Linked DNA regions of Saccharomyces cerevisiae S288C. Changing the gene in region 3 together with the main gene of any one other region gives a genetic interaction. Each region holds a gene or a part of one and is shown on either strand. Other genes may lie near its edges. The genes, in order: ILV3, PAD1, BAT2 and ARO9.

What was found.
Region 1: mutations in BAT2 (region 3) and ILV3 are lethal when combined (synthetic lethality), as found in Saccharomyces cerevisiae (2 studies listed by BioGRID, with this or other methods).
Region 2: of BAT2 (region 3) and PAD1, changing one enhances a phenotype caused by changing the other (phenotypic enhancement), as found in Saccharomyces cerevisiae (one study listed by BioGRID).
Region 4: of BAT2 (region 3) and ARO9, changing one suppresses a phenotype caused by changing the other (phenotypic suppression), as found in Saccharomyces cerevisiae (one study listed by BioGRID).

Annotation. Positions count from the first base shown.
Region 1 is NC_001142.9:463,072-468,775, forward strand, and holds ILV3 (dihydroxy-acid dehydratase ILV3), read right to left. Parts: upstream 3,138-5,704; coding exon 1,380-3,137; downstream 1-1,379. Other genes in the region: YJR015W (uncharacterized protein), read left to right, coding at 1-1,182; peptidylprolyl isomerase ESS1, read right to left, coding at 3,450-3,962; TES1 (palmitoyl-CoA hydrolase), read right to left, coding at 4,161-5,210; REC107 (Rec107p), read right to left, coding at 5,484-5,704. UniProt on the Saccharomyces cerevisiae protein: Dihydroxyacid dehydratase that catalyzes the third step in the common pathway leading to biosynthesis of branched-chain amino acids.
Region 2 is NC_001136.10:1,509,060-1,512,130, reverse strand, and holds PAD1 (phenylacrylic acid decarboxylase PAD1), read right to left. Parts: upstream 1,230-3,071; coding exon 501-1,229; downstream 1-500. Other genes in the region: putative phenylacrylic acid decarboxylase FDC1, read right to left, coding at 1-37; glucose-inactivated glycerol proton symporter STL1, read right to left, coding at 2,417-3,071. UniProt on the Saccharomyces cerevisiae protein: Flavin prenyltransferase that catalyzes the synthesis of the prenylated FMN cofactor (prenyl-FMN) for the ferulic acid decarboxylase FDC1/ubiD.
Region 3 is NC_001142.9:703,594-708,293, forward strand, and holds BAT2 (branched-chain-amino-acid transaminase BAT2), read left to right. Parts: upstream 1-2,150; coding exon 2,151-3,281; downstream 3,282-4,700. Other genes in the region: YJR146W (uncharacterized protein), read left to right, coding at 292-645; HMS2 (Hms2p), read left to right, coding at 603-1,679; YJR149W (putative nitronate monooxygenase), read left to right, coding at 3,567-4,700. UniProt on the Saccharomyces cerevisiae protein: Cytoplasmic isozyme of branched-chain-amino-acid aminotransferase, which catalyzes the first reaction in the catabolism of the essential branched chain amino acids (BCAAs) leucine, isoleucine, and valine.
Region 4 is NC_001140.6:374,117-379,315, reverse strand, and holds ARO9 (aromatic-amino-acid:2-oxoglutarate transaminase), read right to left. Parts: upstream 3,608-5,199; coding exon 2,066-3,607; downstream 1-2,065. Other genes in the region: SPS100 (Sps100p), read left to right, coding at 117-1,097; YHR138C (uncharacterized protein), read left to right, coding at 1,617-1,961; SPL2 (Spl2p), read left to right, coding at 4,216-4,662; serine/threonine protein kinase YCK1, read left to right, coding at 5,006-5,199. UniProt on the Saccharomyces cerevisiae protein: General aromatic amino acid transaminase involved in several otherwise unrelated metabolic pathways. Mainly involved in tryptophan degradation.

The DNA.
Region 1 (5,704 bases), 240 kb from region 3:
TATCTACACAAAGTTAAGCTTCTGGTTGTTATCCAGGAACCCCCTGTGGTAATTTTGGATAATAACAGTTCCATGGTAGTGCCCTCCATATCGTATGCTTTGCCTACTTTTATCAATAAAATACCATGTGATTGGGATATTTATAACAGTCCTACCTTCCAGGCCAAGTTCGACGTAAATACGCCACAGCAAGTCAATGACAAGGTTGTCGATTTGGTTTACGACGAAAAATACTGGTTTGCCATTAATATCAAGCCAAACGCCACGGAGACTCTATTTGAATCACTAATCAACGATACCGCACCACTATTCAATTCTACGCTGTTTAATCAGGTGGTATATGAAACTGGTAGAGACCCGACAAACCTAAAATCAACGATTTTACCGGTTGCTCAGACCATTGAAGAGTACTACCATACATTCTACACACTAAATTATCTGCCGCCGTTATTGACAAACATAACCCAGGTATATCGTTATGCACTAACTAACAATGCAAGGTATATCGCTGCAGCAGGTAAATATAACTACGAATACTATGACCACAGACCATTCACAGACCGTATTCTACTGGCACCCACACAAATCGGTGTTGTTTACTGTTTACTGCTAACTTTTTTCCAATTTCTATTGTACGGCCCATTACACGTAGAAATGGCAAAAGTGCTAAGACCAGCCAACGGTTTAATTTACCGTATCGCTATGTCATGGTTCACCTTTTTCTTTGCGTCTTTGTTCTTCTGCACAACAACCGCCATCTTTCAAGTCGATTTTACCAAGTCCTTTGGTAGAGGTGGCTTCGTCGTATATTGGATGTCTACGTGGCTCTTCATGCTTGCTGCGGGAGGAGCTAACGAAAATGCGGTTATGCTTGTTATTACGTTAGGACCCCAGTATCTCGGGTTCTGGATCCTATCATTTGTCATTCTCAATATTGCACCTTCTTTCTTCCCATTAGCGCTAAACAATAATGTTTATAGATATGGGTACATGATGCCCGTTCACAACGTCATCGATATCTACAGGGTTATTTTTTTTGACGTGACAAGACGCAAGATGGGTCGGAATTATGGTATTTTAGTCGCACTCATTGCCTTGAATACGGCACTGTTACCATTTGTTGGCAAGTATGCTAGTAGAAAACTAAAACAGAAGGCTTTAGTGGCAGCAAAGCAGAGTTAATTTCGTAGATTATAATTAAGGCGACTTTTCAAATAAAAAAATACTGATCGTTGTTTTTTTTTAAATAAATGTTTATCCATTCAATGGACTATAATAAATATTTATATATATATATATATGAAAAGATTGCGAACAAAAAAGATGATGGAAAAGGAGAATCTCTATATATATATTCATCGATTGGGGCCTATAATGCATCAAGCATCTAAAACACAACCGTTGGAAGCGTTGGAAACCAACTTAGCATACTTGGATAGAGTACCTCTTGTGTAACGAGGTGGAGGTGCAACCCAACTTTGTTTACGTTGAGCCATTTCCTTATCAGAGACTAATAGGTCAATCTTGTTATTATCAGCATCAATGATAATCTCATCGCCGTCTCTGACCAACCCGATAGGACCACCTTCAGCGGCTTCGGGAACAATGTGGCCGATTAAGAACCCGTGAGAACCACCAGAGAATCTACCATCAGTCAACAATGCAACATCTTTACCCAAACCGTAACCCATCAGAGCAGAGGAAGGCTTTAGCATTTCAGGCATACCTGGTGCACCTCTTGGACCTTCATATCTGATAACAACAACGGTTTTTTCACCCTTCTTGATTTCACCTCTTTCCAAGGCTTCAATAAAGGCACCTTCCTCTTCGAACACACGTGCTCTACCCTTGAAGTAAGTACCTTCCTTACCGGTAATTTTACCCACAGCTCCACCTGGTGCCAATGAACCGTACAGAATTTGCAAGTGACCGTTGGCCTTGATTGGGTGGGAGAGTGGCTTAATAATCTCTTGTCCTTCAGGTAGGCTTGGTGCTTTCTTTGCACGTTCTGCCAAAGTGTCACCGGTAACAGTCATTGTGTTACCGTGCAACATGTTGTTTTCATATAGATACTTAATCACAGATTGGGTACCACCAACGTTAATCAAATCGGCCATGACGTATTTACCAGAAGGTTTGAAGTCACCGATCAATGGTGTAGTATCACTGATTCTTTGGAAATCATCTGGTGACAACTTGACACCCGCAGAGTGAGCAACAGCCACCAAATGCAAAACAGCATTAGTGGACCCACCGGTTGCAACGACATAAGTAATGGCGTTTTCAAAAGCCTCTTTTGTGAGGATATCACGAGGTAAAATACCCAATTCCATTGTCTTCTTGATGTATTCACCAATGTTGTCACACTCAGCTAACTTCTCCTTGGAAACGGCTGGGAAGGAAGAGGAGTTTGGAATGGTCAAACCTAGCACTTCAGCGGCAGAAGCCATTGTGTTGGCAGTATACATACCACCACAAGAACCAGGACCTGGGCATGCATGTTCCACAACATCTTCTCTTTCTTCTTCAGTGAATTGCTTGGAAATATATTCACCGTAGGATTGGAACGCAGAGACGATATCGATGTTTTTAGAGATCTTCGAAGAACCACATGTTGGATGACCGGGCAAGATAGTACCACCATATACCATGATGGAAGGTCTGTTATGTCTACCCATGGCCATCATGACACCGGGCATGTTTTTGTCACATGATGGGATGGCGATGTTAGCATCGTAGTGTTGTGCCATCATGATGGTTTCAAAGGAGTCTGCAATGATTTCTCTACTTTGTAACGAGTATCTCATACCTTTAGTACCCATAGAGATACCGTCTGAAACACCGATGGTGTTGAACTGCATAGCTTTCAAACCCGCTTTTTCAATGGATTGAGAACATCTGTTATTCAAGTCCAATAGATGCATGTTACATGGGTTACCGGACCACCAACAGGAACCAACCCCGACTTGAGGCTTCTTGAAATCTTCCTTCTTGAAACCGGTGGCATAAAGCATGGCCTGGGACGCACCTTGGCCCTTAGGTTCAGTGATGATATACGAGTACTTGTTGAGCTTCTTTGCAACGCATCTCGTTGTAGAGAATTGTCTAGATGTAGCAACTTTCGTTAACAAGCCCATCTCTACTTTTTTCTTGGCTGTTTACAAAAAAATACAAGAATCCGTTACTAAAGATTACAGGCGCTACAATGCATAATAAAACTTCAGTCTCTTCTTTTGTTACATTATATAATATACTACTATATTACTGAGTCATCTGGAGAGGAAAAGAGAAAATTTTTTTTCAGGCCCGGTTCCGCTCGCAGCGAAGAACAGCGCCATTTAACTATGTGACTAGTTAATTTTTTTTCTTTTCATGGGTTCAGCGAGGACGGAATGGATACAAGAGGGAATAAGAACATAAAAAGGTGAGGTGGAGAAGCAAATGCCAACCTAACCTACCCGCTTGATCACATGAACACCGCTTCCTGATTCAACGATATCGCTTACCTCGCCGACCTTGAGCTGGAAGGCAGCGTCTTCAAAGCTAGGCTGCATCTCGCCTCTCCCGAACCAGCCGAGGTCGCCGCCTCGCTTGTATGAAGAGCAATCTGATCTCTCTTTAGCCAGGGCCTCGAAGGAGTTCGTCTTAGAGTCGTCATCCAACCTCGTGATTAAGGTTTTCAGTTCGTCCGTAGCGTCTTGCTTGGATATCGTAATGTTCTCGGATCTATGCGATGCGGGTCTTCTTGAATCCTTGTGCTTGATGAGAATGTGCAGGCATCTTACACGCACTGGATGGTCTCTTAAGTGCTTGTGTAGCTGGTCCTTGTTGGTGCCCTCAGGCTCCTCCCATTGCGAGTGCTTCGTCTCTGGATTGAAAAAATACTCTCTTTTCTTGGACTTACTATACCTGACGGTCCACGGGGTTGGCAGCCCGGTCCTCGATGCTACGTCAGATGGCATTGGTGCGTCGTTGTGGTGCCGTAGTCGGTTATGCGTGGGAATAAGTACCACAATGATCATTCAGGTCCTTTTTCTACTTAGATCGAAGGGAAAAAGGTATGATACCCGCTCGTGAAAGGTGATGTAATAATAAATAGGATATTATTATATAATATAAGAATATATATGTATGTGTTTATACGTGGGAGGGAATTGTCCTCAGAACTTGGCTCGAATGTCTCGTTCTGACCCGTAGACAACGTAGCCCTCCTGAGAGACGCTTGCCATGATGCGTCCCGACTGTGTGTCGAAATACTTGCCCTGTACGAGGTGCTTGTCCCAGTGGGACCTGGGATTCGAAATCTTAAGATAGATCCAATTGTTCACATGAGGCAACTGGTGAAAGTAAATCGTGTGGTCGAGCGAGACACTGAAACTGTGGCAGTACAAAGGCAGGTTGTGGAAGTACGGGATCGTGAGTAGGAGGTAGGAATCGGACAGATACGCAAAGGCCACGTAGTTGTAGCGAGCGTCGTTCTCAGGAGTAATGCTCTTCGGGATCCTGTACGGATGATGCTTGTGTAAAGAAGACTCGTCGCCCGCGTGCTCCACGGTAGTGATGGGAGGTCTCACTTTGACGAAATAATCCAGCTCGTCGGTGTGTCTTGCCGAGTAGAACATGTCCTTGGGGAATTGGTACTCCATGACTCCGTATTGAAACGCATCCACATACTTGCTCATCGAGGTTGCGTCTTGGAACCTGTCGGACAATGAGGCATACCTGCTCAATTTCTGTGGGTCCAGAACTTCTTTCTGGAAAAGCGAAGTGGCCTCTTCATAACGATGAGGGTCTGGCTGCTTACCTTGCAGGCCTGGAATCGTCTCCCAGTGCTGCAAGGAGTCGTGCTCCTTGGACCGTTGCACGGCAAATAAGATCATCGACGTAAATATCAACTTGTCGTGCTGATAAGCACTAACCTGCTTATGGATGAAATTTCTACCGTTTCTCAGATTCTGCACATGGTACGTGATCTTGGTCCGCGGATCACCACCCTTGATGAAATACGAATGTAGCGATGTGGGGAAGAAGTTCAATGGCACAGTATGCAATGACGCCAGCAGCGATTGTGATACCAGCGTTCCACCAAAAGTGCCCTTAGACCCTACGGGCGCGGCAGGCAGATACTTTGTGACAAAACTGGTAGGCGAAAGAGGAACCAGTTCCAATATTTTCTCTAGGTTGGACATGGCCATTTTGGAAGCACTCATTTTTATGCAATCTTGTCTTATCTTGTCTTGCTCATGGTGGATACTGAATTGAAACCCTTTTCTGGTTTATATCCAACTGGCGTGGTTTTTCATTGTAGGATGAGGCTCGGTGTTTATGCCGTCTCTTCCGAGGATGCAATCAAAGGCTCTCTCCTTTGTTGGGGTAGTAGCAAGTCCAATAAGCAACGCTTGTTTGTTGATTGGGCCGATTTACATAGCCTATACACTGCTGTTACATATGCCTGTGTAGAATGAAAAAGCAGGACGCCCGTTTCACAGCTCAGATTCCAGAGTGTCGGGTCTTAGTTCCTCCCAGGGAATAATGGTCCTGGCCGCACGCTTCAGCCGATGGCTAGCGTCATCATTGTCTTCGCTATTGTGGTTTTGGCTGGTGGATAGGGTTGGGGAGCTGGATCTTCTGCGTTTCATGGACCTTGTGACCATCATTCTTGGTGGCGGCACGGACTTCTTACGCTGCTTATCGTGGGCTTCGT
Region 2 (3,071 bases), on a different chromosome or scaffold from region 3:
AGTCTCTAAATTCTAAAGCTGGATTTAGCTTCCTCATTTAAATATATAAATTGACAATTCTTTTGAATTGGTGATGTAATAATGTCAAGAATAGAATAACTCAGAGGAAAAAAATCAAAAAGATATGCGGTATTCGTTTACATTCCTGATATATTCCTGATATCACGAGCTTGTCTTATAGGAAAAAGTACGCTACAACGGCGGTCACTTTGACATAAAACTACGTACGCAATTTGGACTTTCGTGAAAATATGCGCGAAGATTGAACTGCGTATCTAGTAAAATATTGTTTTAGACGATATTTAAGCTGACATTGAAAATGAGTAAGAAGTACATGTGTAAATATCTGGGTTCAATTAGAATGATATCGGGAAGTTCACGGTTTGTATTCATTTGCAACAAGTTCTGTCGGGGCTAAAAGAAATATAAAAAGATTTTAGCAAGTAACAAATCAACTCTATTAGTAGTTGAGTAACGTAATAAAATGCTCAGAAAAAGTGTTACTTGCTTTTTATTCCTTCCCAACGAGGAAAAGTGTCAGCGTGGATGCCAAAGCAGTCTAGGATCCTGCCAACACTTTGTTCTAATAGGTCATGAAGGCTCTTGGGTCTTGTATAAAACGCAGGTACCGGAGGAAAAATTATAACACCTGCCCTGCATAAAGACAACATGTTTTCAAGATGGATGGAAGATAAAGGGGTTTCCCGAGTAACCAGTAGTAACTTACGATTCTCTTTAATCGAAACATCGGCAGCTCTTGTAATTAAATCCTCTGTAAAACCGATTCTAATAGCAGCTAGTGATTTCATGGAACAGGGCACAACAATCATACCATCATGCTGGAAAGATCCGGACGAAATGCATGCAGAAACATCACGAACAGAGTATGTCTTGGTTGCCAAGGCCGCCACGTCATGCGGTTCCCAATCTGTTTCATATTTCATTGTTGCTGCACCCCATTTTGAAATCACCAAATGGGTTTCTACGCTCAACTCTTTTAGCACTTGTAGAAGTCTGATTCCCAGTGCAACACCAGTCGCACCAGTAATTGCGACAACAATTCTCTTTGGTCTTGGAGGCGAAGTTGATGCCCTGGTTACTTCCTTTGACAGTTTATGTGTAAGGAAAGATGGTGAAGTTGTAATGGTTCTACCTAGCAAAGGAAAATTAGCAAAAATGCCTGTTGTTTTGAAAAAGGCTATATTAGTTCTTCTTGGAAATAGGAGCATATCTACTCAATTGAAGCTGCTCAATGCGTTGGACTCCGTAGATTGAAATCAATCTATATTTGCAGCATTATGTTAAATGAAATTCTATCCATCACCAATCTTAAAAATGGGTCGAGTATACTTTTTCTGAGAAGTTTAACGGTAAACAGGAAAGGCGCGTCATTTTTTCTGTGCCAACTTTCCTTTTGGAGCATCTCATCATTATTTGAAAACGATACGAAGTGCTACTAATGAAACCATTTTTATGTAAAAAGGCTTTCAGACAGGAATGCAAAGTCTGTAAAATACATCCAATTTCTTGTCTGCAATTTATGTCATAACATGTTAAGCGTTTTGGCTGTCTTCACAGATATACTCTTTTCTTGTGCAATCGTTGTCAAGTTGGTTATAAGTAACAGCACTAGGTGATGTATGGTGTCCCTTGCCCTGTTTTTGATATGCCTATGAAGCGCTGCTGCGTTTTCGAGGTATGGCTTCTGCCGGGCTAACGTTCAAATTAAAGGAACTAGATTCTGCTGTTATCAAACCGACAAGAAGAATGAAGTGCATAACGTATGAAAAATAGGTCCTGTAAAGCTCTGGTAAAATCTTACTGCTCTAAGCGATGCATGATATTCATGGCTAATTTGAAATCTTGCTCTAAAACCCTTTTTGCAAGAAGAATATCATGGCAAGACCGCAAAAAGAGAATAGCACCATTTGCAGTGTTCGAAAGTTGGTGGCTTTTTGTATGTTGCAGTTAAATGATGGTAGAACAGGTTTTTGCGGTGTCCCATGAGAGAAAAGGAAGGAAGACATTCATAGAACATCCATGGCGGCACCCTGCTAAAATATCTTCACCTTAGTATTCAGATTTTCCTACTTCCGTCATCATTCGCTCCAATGTAATAACACGTCCACGTTATCAATAAAGATGTTTTAAAAATTTTTGTGGGACTATTATTGTACTTAAATAAATATTAAGACTACGGAGTCGGGCTATTTTATAAGCTTTTTATAGGCATTGCCGGCAAGCGGAAGAAAATGAAAGTGGACATATTTCCTCAAAAGACAGATCGTCTGGTGTTAAAATACTAAAGTTATGTAGTAATATATGAATATTATTGGTGCGGCAAGGAACAAATATAAACCCCGCAAAATGCTTTCTTAAGTAAATTACAAAATATGATTTGTGAGTTGTGTGTGAATCAACCCTCAAAATTTGCTTTATCGTTCACTGTATCTTCATTTTTGATGTTTGAAGAACTAGACGAATTATCGCCGTTAATTTGGTTATAGGTGTCTTCTACTCTATCTTCACCAAAGTCCTCTTTTTCCATTTCGTCGTCATAAGAGCCCAATGCATTGGCATGATCTTCGACTTCTTGTAGGGATAACTTGGGCAAATGGTTAGCAACTCTCCATGGTTGAGTGCCATCCTCGTATGCTTTAGCAAAGATGATGTCGATTTCCTCCAAACTTCTTCCGGCGGTTTCAGGGTAGAAAAAGAAGATAACTGGAATGTATAAATAATTCATAACAGCAAAAAATAAGTAGCAACCCCAACCGGACTGTCCAATAAATATTGGGGTGAACATGACAACCGCAAAGTTACACAACCAATTAGTACATGTGGAGAAAGCGTTTGTTGATGCACGAACTTTCATTGATGCAATTTCTGGTGGGTATATCCATGGTAATGATAGCAAAGACAAACCAAAGAATGTAATGAACAAAAATAAGCCGACGGCAGCACCTCTTGCGTTTTCTTTATTTTCTTTGACCAAGCATGCAAATGTAATTGTGAATGAAACTGCTTGACCTGTGGCACCTAATAAAAACAGCTTACGTCTACCTAGCTTT
Region 3 (4,700 bases):
ATGACGAAAATGGACAAGCTGCGCAGGAAAGGACTACGAAAAGTATGCTGCCATAATGACAAGATAAGGCGCAACACACGTAATCATGACTAATGGTTGCACAGACGGTAGGCCAGGAGAAGGATTAGATCTCGTGCCGAACGACAGCAAGCTAGCTAGACTATGTTATCTGAGTGTAAACGAAAGCGCAGCAGTCTCTGCAAGAGCACGTGCGACGTGTCTGGTGTGCAAAAACCCTCTAGAGAAACATTGCTAAGGTTTACCGATGCAGGAAATCTTTAGTTCTAAAAGATGAAAGTCGGAAAAGCCAAAAAGAAACCGGAAATCTTCTCTGCGCATTGTTCTGTGGCCACGGCCTTCCTGGACCCGTCCTTCTTTTACCCGAACTTTGTCGCCCAAAAGGCATCTCATTATAATGACAAAACTGGATCTGCAAATATTTGGACATATATCTCCAGAACGGGCTCACTTCTCCTCTTCACCCAGGTGGTATATAGGAAGAGTAAGTGGACGCATCAGTCCGCGACATTTGCGGACTGTATATATTGCCAGTCAGGGCAGTCGCCAAGTGTGTCTCTTTCGTGTAGCGACGCACGTCAGACATGGATGCAACATCGAGGATGGAGCAGCCTGATGTCTTTGTAAGCAAACTCTACCACCTGCTGCAGGGGAACGCTTACTCGAACATAATACAATGGTCGACTGATGGCAGCAAGCTCGTCATTTGGAATCCGGACCAGTTCACCAAAGTCATCCTAGAGCGATTTTTTGGTATTCACACCTTTGCAGCATTCGTTAAGCAATTGAGCAAATATAACTTCCAGAAGGCGGGCCGCCCGGACTGCGTGGAGTTTTCCAACATTCATTTTCAAAAAGATAACATTAATAGCCTCTCACTGGTTAAAGCTCATCAGTCTGCCGCCACTCCCAATGTCGCCGCCGTCAATAATATGAATAAGCAGTGTACTTTTCACTGGGACCCTTTCAAAGTGAACTCCATTCTAAGCAAGGCCATCGGCAAGCCTTCCTTCGAGAAATTAGTGAAAAATGTTGACAGGCTTCAGGGCAATCTTGATGAGCTTAAGTCGACAAACGCAGATAGTCTGCGTATTATAAGGGAAATTAACGCCAGCTTACAGACAATCTCCTACCACCAGTTTCACGCCTACCAAACCGCTAACTTCCTTCAAGAAAATTTTGAAGCCATCAAAAAGGTTGTATGCCCGGACTCTTGTCTACAACACCAGCAACGCCAACCAAAGCGCCCCAAACGCTACTCGTTGCTGTTACTAATACCAAACGCATCCGAATTGTCAGAAACACCTTTGATGCGCTTCGCCGGCGTGTTCGAATTTATGAACTGCTCTTTGGATACGGCCACTCAGTGGCACCCGCAGTTGCATCCCGAGGCATACGACCTTCTTTTCGTCACCGTGTCGCCCAACATGCAACAAGAACATCTCATCTACTTCAAGAGACTGAGAAACCTACTCCCAAGCTTTCCTGTAATAGCCATTATTAACAGACCCGTCTCCCCTCAAGATACCAGCATTGCTCCCTCCAACTACTCTCGCTATTATTTCCACCATTTTTTGCAGTTGGGGTTCAGTGACATCCTAGTTAGCCCCTTCACCCCAACACAACTTATAACGCTCCTTTCCAAACATCTTCGAACGTGAAAACCTGCCTCTGAGGGTCATTCACGACCTAGCATACCACTATATACGTGTACGATTTTTTTTTTCTGTGACCGCACTACACCAAAGTTTAATGTTCCATTGGCCCCGGAACCATTCTTGCAAACGGCGTTCTTTTTCCGCTTTCGGGTGACACTTAATTTAGCTTCTTTTCCCTCTCTGACACCTCTTGTTATCTAATCTGTAGATCCGACTCTTTTTCTTTTTGGTGTCGTTCTTCTATGTCCGTTTTTCTGTCAACAAAAACGGAAATAATAGGTAGAAATTAAGAGCCGTACGTGAGTGAGAGGAGATCCGAAATGAGCTGACAGTATAACTAATATAAGCTTACAAGATATTCGACTATTTCCTGGGAAAAAATTCATTCCTTTGAGAAATCCTTAATAAAAACAGACTAACTACTAAAATTTTAGAAATTTAAGGGAAAGCATCTCCACGAGTTTTAAGAACGATATGACCTTGGCACCCCTAGACGCCTCCAAAGTTAAGATAACTACCACACAACATGCATCTAAGCCAAAACCGAACAGTGAGTTAGTGTTTGGCAAGAGCTTCACGGACCACATGTTAACTGCGGAATGGACAGCTGAAAAAGGGTGGGGTACCCCAGAGATTAAACCTTATCAAAATCTGTCTTTAGACCCTTCCGCGGTGGTTTTCCATTATGCTTTTGAGCTATTCGAAGGGATGAAGGCTTACAGAACGGTGGACAACAAAATTACAATGTTTCGTCCAGATATGAATATGAAGCGCATGAATAAGTCTGCTCAGAGAATCTGTTTGCCAACGTTCGACCCAGAAGAGTTGATTACCCTAATTGGGAAACTGATCCAGCAAGATAAGTGCTTAGTTCCTGAAGGAAAAGGTTACTCTTTATATATCAGGCCTACATTAATCGGCACTACGGCCGGTTTAGGGGTTTCCACGCCTGATAGAGCCTTGCTATATGTCATTTGCTGCCCTGTGGGTCCTTATTACAAAACTGGATTTAAGGCGGTCAGACTGGAAGCCACTGATTATGCCACAAGAGCTTGGCCAGGAGGCTGTGGTGACAAGAAACTAGGTGCAAACTACGCCCCCTGCGTCCTGCCACAATTGCAAGCTGCTTCAAGGGGTTACCAACAAAATTTATGGCTATTTGGTCCAAATAACAACATTACTGAAGTCGGCACCATGAATGCTTTTTTCGTGTTTAAAGATAGTAAAACGGGCAAGAAGGAACTAGTTACTGCTCCACTAGACGGTACCATTTTGGAAGGTGTTACTAGGGATTCCATTTTAAATCTTGCTAAAGAAAGACTCGAACCAAGTGAATGGACCATTAGTGAACGCTACTTCACTATAGGCGAAGTTACTGAGAGATCCAAGAACGGTGAACTACTTGAAGCCTTTGGTTCTGGTACTGCTGCGATTGTTTCTCCCATTAAGGAAATCGGCTGGAAAGGCGAACAAATTAATATTCCGTTGTTGCCCGGCGAACAAACCGGTCCATTGGCCAAAGAAGTTGCACAATGGATTAATGGAATCCAATATGGCGAGACTGAGCATGGCAATTGGTCAAGGGTTGTTACTGATTTGAACTGAAGTATCGCTATTGCTACGTAAAGTAATTAAAAGTTAAAAAGAATAAAACTAGAGCGTTTTTTCTACTGAGTTAAGGGGTCATGTCAGAATATAACATACCCTTTGACATTGTATATATGAATTCCTGGATTTTGCAGTGATCTGATAAAAAATGTATGTCGAAACCTGCAATTATCCTTTCGTTTTTTTTCTTGTCATCTAGTGCTGGCCTATCGGTATCAAGGACATCTTTTGCGCGGATAGAAAAGGGCCCATACATACCTTAGAAGCAACTCAAGACAATTCATGTACTTTTTAAACCAACTAATATTTCAAGACGTTTCCGTAATGTCGGTGGATAAAAGAGAAGATATGAGCAGATCTTTCCAAAAATGTTTAAACTTGAGATACCCTATCATCCAGGCCCCTATGGCGGGGGTCACGACTATTGAAATGGCCGCTAAGGCTTGTATTGCGGGCGCCATAGCTTCACTACCCCTATCCCACTTAGACTTCAGAAAGGTCAATGATATTGAAAAGCTTAAACTGATGGTTTCACAATTCAGAGATCAAGTAGCCGATGAATCTTTAGAGGGCAATCTCAACCTAAACTTTTTTTGCCATGATATCGTTGATAAACCGACCGATCTTCAAACAGCTAACTGGGCGAAGCTATACAGAAAGTCTATGAATGTGCCGATTGATATGAATGAGATTAAATTCGATAATGGTAATGTATCTTTTAAGGCATTTGAAAAAGAAAATGCTCTTCAAGATTTTTTCCAGTACCTATCAGATGGCTTTAGGCCTAAAATCATTAGTTTCCATTTTGGCCATCCGTCGAAATCTACAATAGAATATTTACAAAAAATTGGAATTCTAATTTTTGTGACTGCCACCTCTGTAAGAGAAGTTCGATTGTTAGCACGTCTCGGCATTAATGGCATAGTGTGTCAAGGCTATGAAGCGGGAGGACATAGAGGAAATTTCTTAGTAAATGACCCCAAAGATGATGAAAACTTATCAACTGTACAATTGGTGAAAAGAACAGTTGATGAACTTGCTGAAATGAAAAATAAAGGTCTTATACATGCTACTCCCTTTGTCATTGCAGCAGGTGGTATAATGGATTCCAAAGATATATCATACATGTTATCACAGCAAGCAGACGCTGTTCAAGTGGGGACTGCTTTTCTTGGTTGCAGTGAATCCAATGCATCAAAAAACTTTTCAAGCCCCTTCACTCGAGAAACAACAACTAAAATGGTTAATATAATATCAGGAAAGCCTGCAAGGACCATCTCTACTCCTTTTATCGAAAAAGTCATTGCTAATTTTCAAGGTGAGGAGCTTCCTCCATATGGCTACATGTATAGTGCTTTCAAGCAAGTAAGAAAAAAGTATCCAGAATTGGCTAACTTTATTTTAGCTGGACAAGGA
Region 4 (5,199 bases), on a different chromosome or scaffold from region 3:
TACTATAAAAATTGGGAGGAAAGCTAAAAACACTTTTGGTTTCTCTTGTTCCTATCAATCATGCTCTAGTATTTGATTTCGATCAGTTTTCACATCTAAGAACCCAATCAGCTATTATGAAATTCACATCAGTGCTAGCATTTTTTCTTGCAACTTTAACAGCTTCTGCAACACCACTTTACAAGAGGCAGAACGTTACTTCTGGCGGCGGTACGGTCCCCGTGATCATCACGGGTGGACCTGCTGTATCTGGTAGCCAGTCAAACGTTACTACCACAACGCTATTCAACTCTACTTCCACCTTAAACATCACTCAACTTTACCAAATTGCTACTCAAGTTAATCAGACTTTACAAAGCGAATCGTCTTCCGGCATTATAATCGTCACAAACTGGCGTTCCATTGAAACTTTGAGTTTCTTCTGCTCAATCGTTTTTAATACATCAAAGACCATTGTCATTACTGAGAATTTCTTATGGGGTGTACCAATATTGAGTAGTTCGGACGCGGAAGGTAGAGGCACTTTGGTTGCCGGTAGAGATAAAGTTGTGTATTCTGGTGTTTTCCCTCCTTACACTGTTCCTGTGGGCGTTTTGTCTGGTCAGAAGAATGTTCAATGGTTCTTTGATGCCTGTGAGCCAACTCTGATTGCCAGCAACTCCACAATCAGAACTCAATACTCGAATTTTACGAGCGCACAAATATCTTCTAATGCCTCCTCCGGGACCAATACATCCTCATCATCCTCCAGTCCATTGGTTCCAATTATATACGAAGAAGGATATTCTCAAAGCTTAATTCAATCACTAAGTTCTAGTATCCAAGGTTTGGTTGTTGTCAGCTCTGGTACAAGTCACAACAGTACCGTGGCATCATGGACATCGGTCGACTTCCCTGTCGTTTATGCAAGTGATGGATCCAGTGGTCATGATGGTTCAGGAATTGGGTTCATAAGTAACACAAGTATTCCACAAGGTGCAATTTCTGCTGGGTACTTGTCACCAATCCAAGCGCAAACTTTGTTGTCTATTGCTATCCATAATCAAGTCACAAGTAGTAGCGAGTTACAACAAATCTTCCCTGTTAGTCAACAATAAGATGATTATGTGTTGTGTACTACGAAAATAAGCAAAAAATAAATAAAATAAAAACAAAAACAAAAACAAAAACAAAAACAAAAACAAAAACAAAAACACATATTGTTATGATGACTGGACGAAAGAAAGATCGTCGTTACTTTCCTAATTGTTTGTCTTCAGTACAGTTATTATCAGTGTTCTCTTTCTTTTTTATTGTACTATGTGATGTTACTGATACATCACGCGCTTCCTTTATGTTTTCTTTTTTTATGTTCGTTACAGGATTTATAGTTTTTACAGTATATTGACTTCAATAATTTCTAATATTCAGTTCCTATTAAATTTGATTATTCCGATTAGATCGGTCGGCGCTACCAAAAAGAGGCGAAGAAAAGAGGAAAACGCAAGTGGATAAAGGGGTGGGGGGCAAAAGTATTTAAGAAAAAGCGATGCGATGGAGAGAACAAATGGATAAGTTGCGTTTCCTCGTTATATTACAACATTTAAATCTATTGTGTAACAGACTATAGCATATATATGAAGGCCAGTTACTTAGTTTTGATTTTCATTAGCATATTCTCCATGGCACAGGCATCTTCCTTATCATCATACATCGTAACTTTCCCCAAGACGGATAATATGGCTACGGACCAGAATAGCATTATTGAAGATGTCAAAAAATATGTGGTGGACATAGGGGGTAAAATAACACACGAATATAGCTTGATAAAGGGCTTTACAGTGGACTTACCTGATAGCGACCAAATTTTGGACGGTCTGAAAGAACGTTTGAGCTATATTGAAAGCGAGTACGGTGCTAAATGCAATTTGGAAAAGGATTCAGAAGTTCATGCTCTAAACCGTGACCATTTAGTTGCTTAGAGTAATTTAAAATATACGCGACTATAACTTTTTCCCAACTTTTATACAAAAAACTACAATTTATATATGATATGCAAATAACACATAGGTTTAATCTTCACTGTTCAACTTTTATAGTTGTCAAAAAATTCTTTTATGCCACTACCGATTCTTTTGGAAGCTTCAATCAACTGATCATCATCCCTTGCATAGGCGATGGTGAGTCTTAGAAAATCTGAATTCTGCTTTGAATAATTTGGGCAAACAGCCATTTTATAACCAAGCACTACTTTAACACCATTCTTCAGCAAGAACTTATCTAAAATATCCATCTGTTGCGGCAAATCGTCAGGTCTATCGAAATTCCCCCAATTGATTTTAATAATGATGAACATACCCGCGGAGGGTTCCATAACGGTAAACTGACCAGCTTGGTAAGATTCTGTTTCGTATAAGGCTTTCAAAGTAAGATTTTTCCTATGATTGTATTTAGAAGCAATCTGCATTATCCATCTTATCCAACCCTCAAACATTGCTTCTTTCATAGAAAGAGAGGACGATAAGTTGGACTCAGCCATTGCCTTTATTGTAGAATAAACAATAGCTTGTGAGGTACCACTGGGGGCCCTTGTAGTAATGTCGGCCAAATCCAAGATTTTTTGCAAAAGGAATTTATTAGCAACGATGAAGGATAACCTTAATCCAGGAGCAAAAATTTTAGAAAAAGTCTCCAAACGGATGACACGGGCATCTGTATCCAAAGTCAAGAATGATTTCATTAAAAAATCATTCAAATACCGTTCAGTAGTCAGGTCGCTAGAATGGTAAGGGTTTTCTAATGGCTCTTGCGGATTATAGGAAGGAAAGTACAGATAACCGTAGGGATCATCTTCAACAATGAGGAAATCGTGTCTTTGGGCCAACTGGTAAATTTTCTCTCTTTTCCACTGGGGGACAGACATCCCGGTAGGATTTTGGCCCGTTGCAATGGTATATAGGACCCTTGGCTTGTTTAAGTCTTTGTATGGTCCAGTTGACCAATTATCGAGCAACTGCGTTAGATATTCGACATCAATACCCTGGGACTCTCTGTCGAAGGTCAGGTTCATCTTGATGGGGATGACTTTTGCTCCTGTAGCCTCCACATTGGACATAGCCGGGGTGAAAGTAAACTCTTCAATCATCACAGTGGTCGATTCGTCGCAAATTGTTTCAAAAACCTTAAACATTGAATCGTTGGACCCGCCAGAAAGGATGACATCCCAGTTAGACTCCGTCTCATCGGAAAAGGCTGGGCGATTAATTCTGGACACAAAATCTTTAACAAAATGTAAGAGAGGGGGTAAACCCTTGGTTTCTGCATATTGGAAAGAACGTGCAATGGGTAGCTCACTGGGGGATCCCAAGTCCAAATGCGCCGTGGTAAACGAATTATGCCATTTTGGGTTATCATTAAAAGGAACTTTTGATATTTTCAAATCCATAGATTCGATAGGAAAAAATCTCTCGTTTGGCATTCCACCAGCTAGCTCAATGACGTCATCTGAGATATCAGAAGCATCCCAAAAGCTTTTCAGAGATCTATTTTCTACTCTTCTGGAGAGAAACGGTTGGAAGTTCTTCTTTAAGGAAGTGTAATCAACAGGGGGGGCAGAACCAGCAGTCATTGAGTCGATGAGAGAGTGTAATTGTGGTATGTGTGTATTTTTATGTTTACACTGGGATATTACAAGACCAAATCAAGCTTTTTCCTTTATATATATCAAATATTTATAATGTTTCCTACCCCAATGATGGTTCGGTTATCCGCGGCAAATCTCGGTAAGCATCGGCAATGCTTCCGCGAGTTACCGCTTTTTTTTTTTTATTCCTTTGTTATTATCTACGGCCGTCGGCGGCAATAGTATTTTTGCTCACGTGACCGACAAGGGTCCATTTTATTGCGGTACGGCTCTCTCTTTTTTTTTTTCTCCTCTTCAACTTCTCTCTGATTGCAAACAATATATAACATAACCATGTTCATTACGTACGAAAATATATATACATAAATGCATGGCAGTTATGGCAATTACAACTACAACGCCGTAAAGTTCCAAACGCAGCGGCCTGAGATAGTAAATGATGTACGCACGTGGGCGAAAGTTCATTACTTTGACTGTTGTAACATACCGTATCTCTCTTTTCCCACGTGCTCCGCTCTCTTATCTACCTTGGCGGTACAGCCCTGCGCGGAGTCACTGCAGCCACGTGCCTAGATCTATTACTATGACTTCCCATGGGCACATATACGCCATTAATATACAATATATATAACGTTCATATATGGGTATTTACAGAGAGCCAGGGGCAAATTGGACAGATGTCTCCACGCGGCAAAATGGAAACAGCAGTTTCACAAGGACAACACAAACAACTTAAAGATGGTCACCAGCATAAGGGAAGAAAACTCTCCGAGGAGATCGCTTCTCTATTGAGGCTCAAAGAGTGCAGGAGGCTCAATCCTGCTAGTTACTATACTCCACGTAGAACATCGCAGTCACAATCTCTCAGTGGATCAACTTTTAAAGAGTATAACGAGTACATTAATGAGAAAGATTCAAGTAGAGCGCAGCGTCAAAACGCTGCCGCCGTTTTAAGCAAGCTCGCCCATGACTTTTGGGAGAACGACTGTGTCATTGACGAAGACATATTCGAAGATTCGTCTGACGAAGAACAATCATGATTGCATCTCTTAATCGTTACACATACATACCTTCTACCTCTGTACTGTTACATATGCATTGACTTTACGATCTAATATAAATCCTTTTGATGTTACCCCGCCTGTGGGCTCGTTCTCCTTTCGTTTCTTACGATTTTTTCGCCGGAACAAGAAAAAACAGAACAAAACAAATCAGCGATCGTATACATGGGTCTTTGATTTCTGCTTGCTTCTTACAAACAACAAACGCAAACCGTTCATTGAGTGCTCTGTGACTGGTTTTCATGTGGATGCCATAGTAGAGAAAAGACACATACAAAAATTTCGCGCATTCGCTGGCCCTTTTCCTGCTCTCCTCTTCCCCATGTCCATGCCCATAGCAAGTACCACTCTAGCAGTTAACAACCTCACCAATATAAACGGAAACGCAAATTTTAACGTACAAGCAAACAAACAACTCCACCACCAGGCTGTCGACTCGCCCGCAAGATCTTCGATGACCGCCACGACCGCCGCCAACTCCAACAGCAACTCTTCCAGAGATGACTCTACTATTGT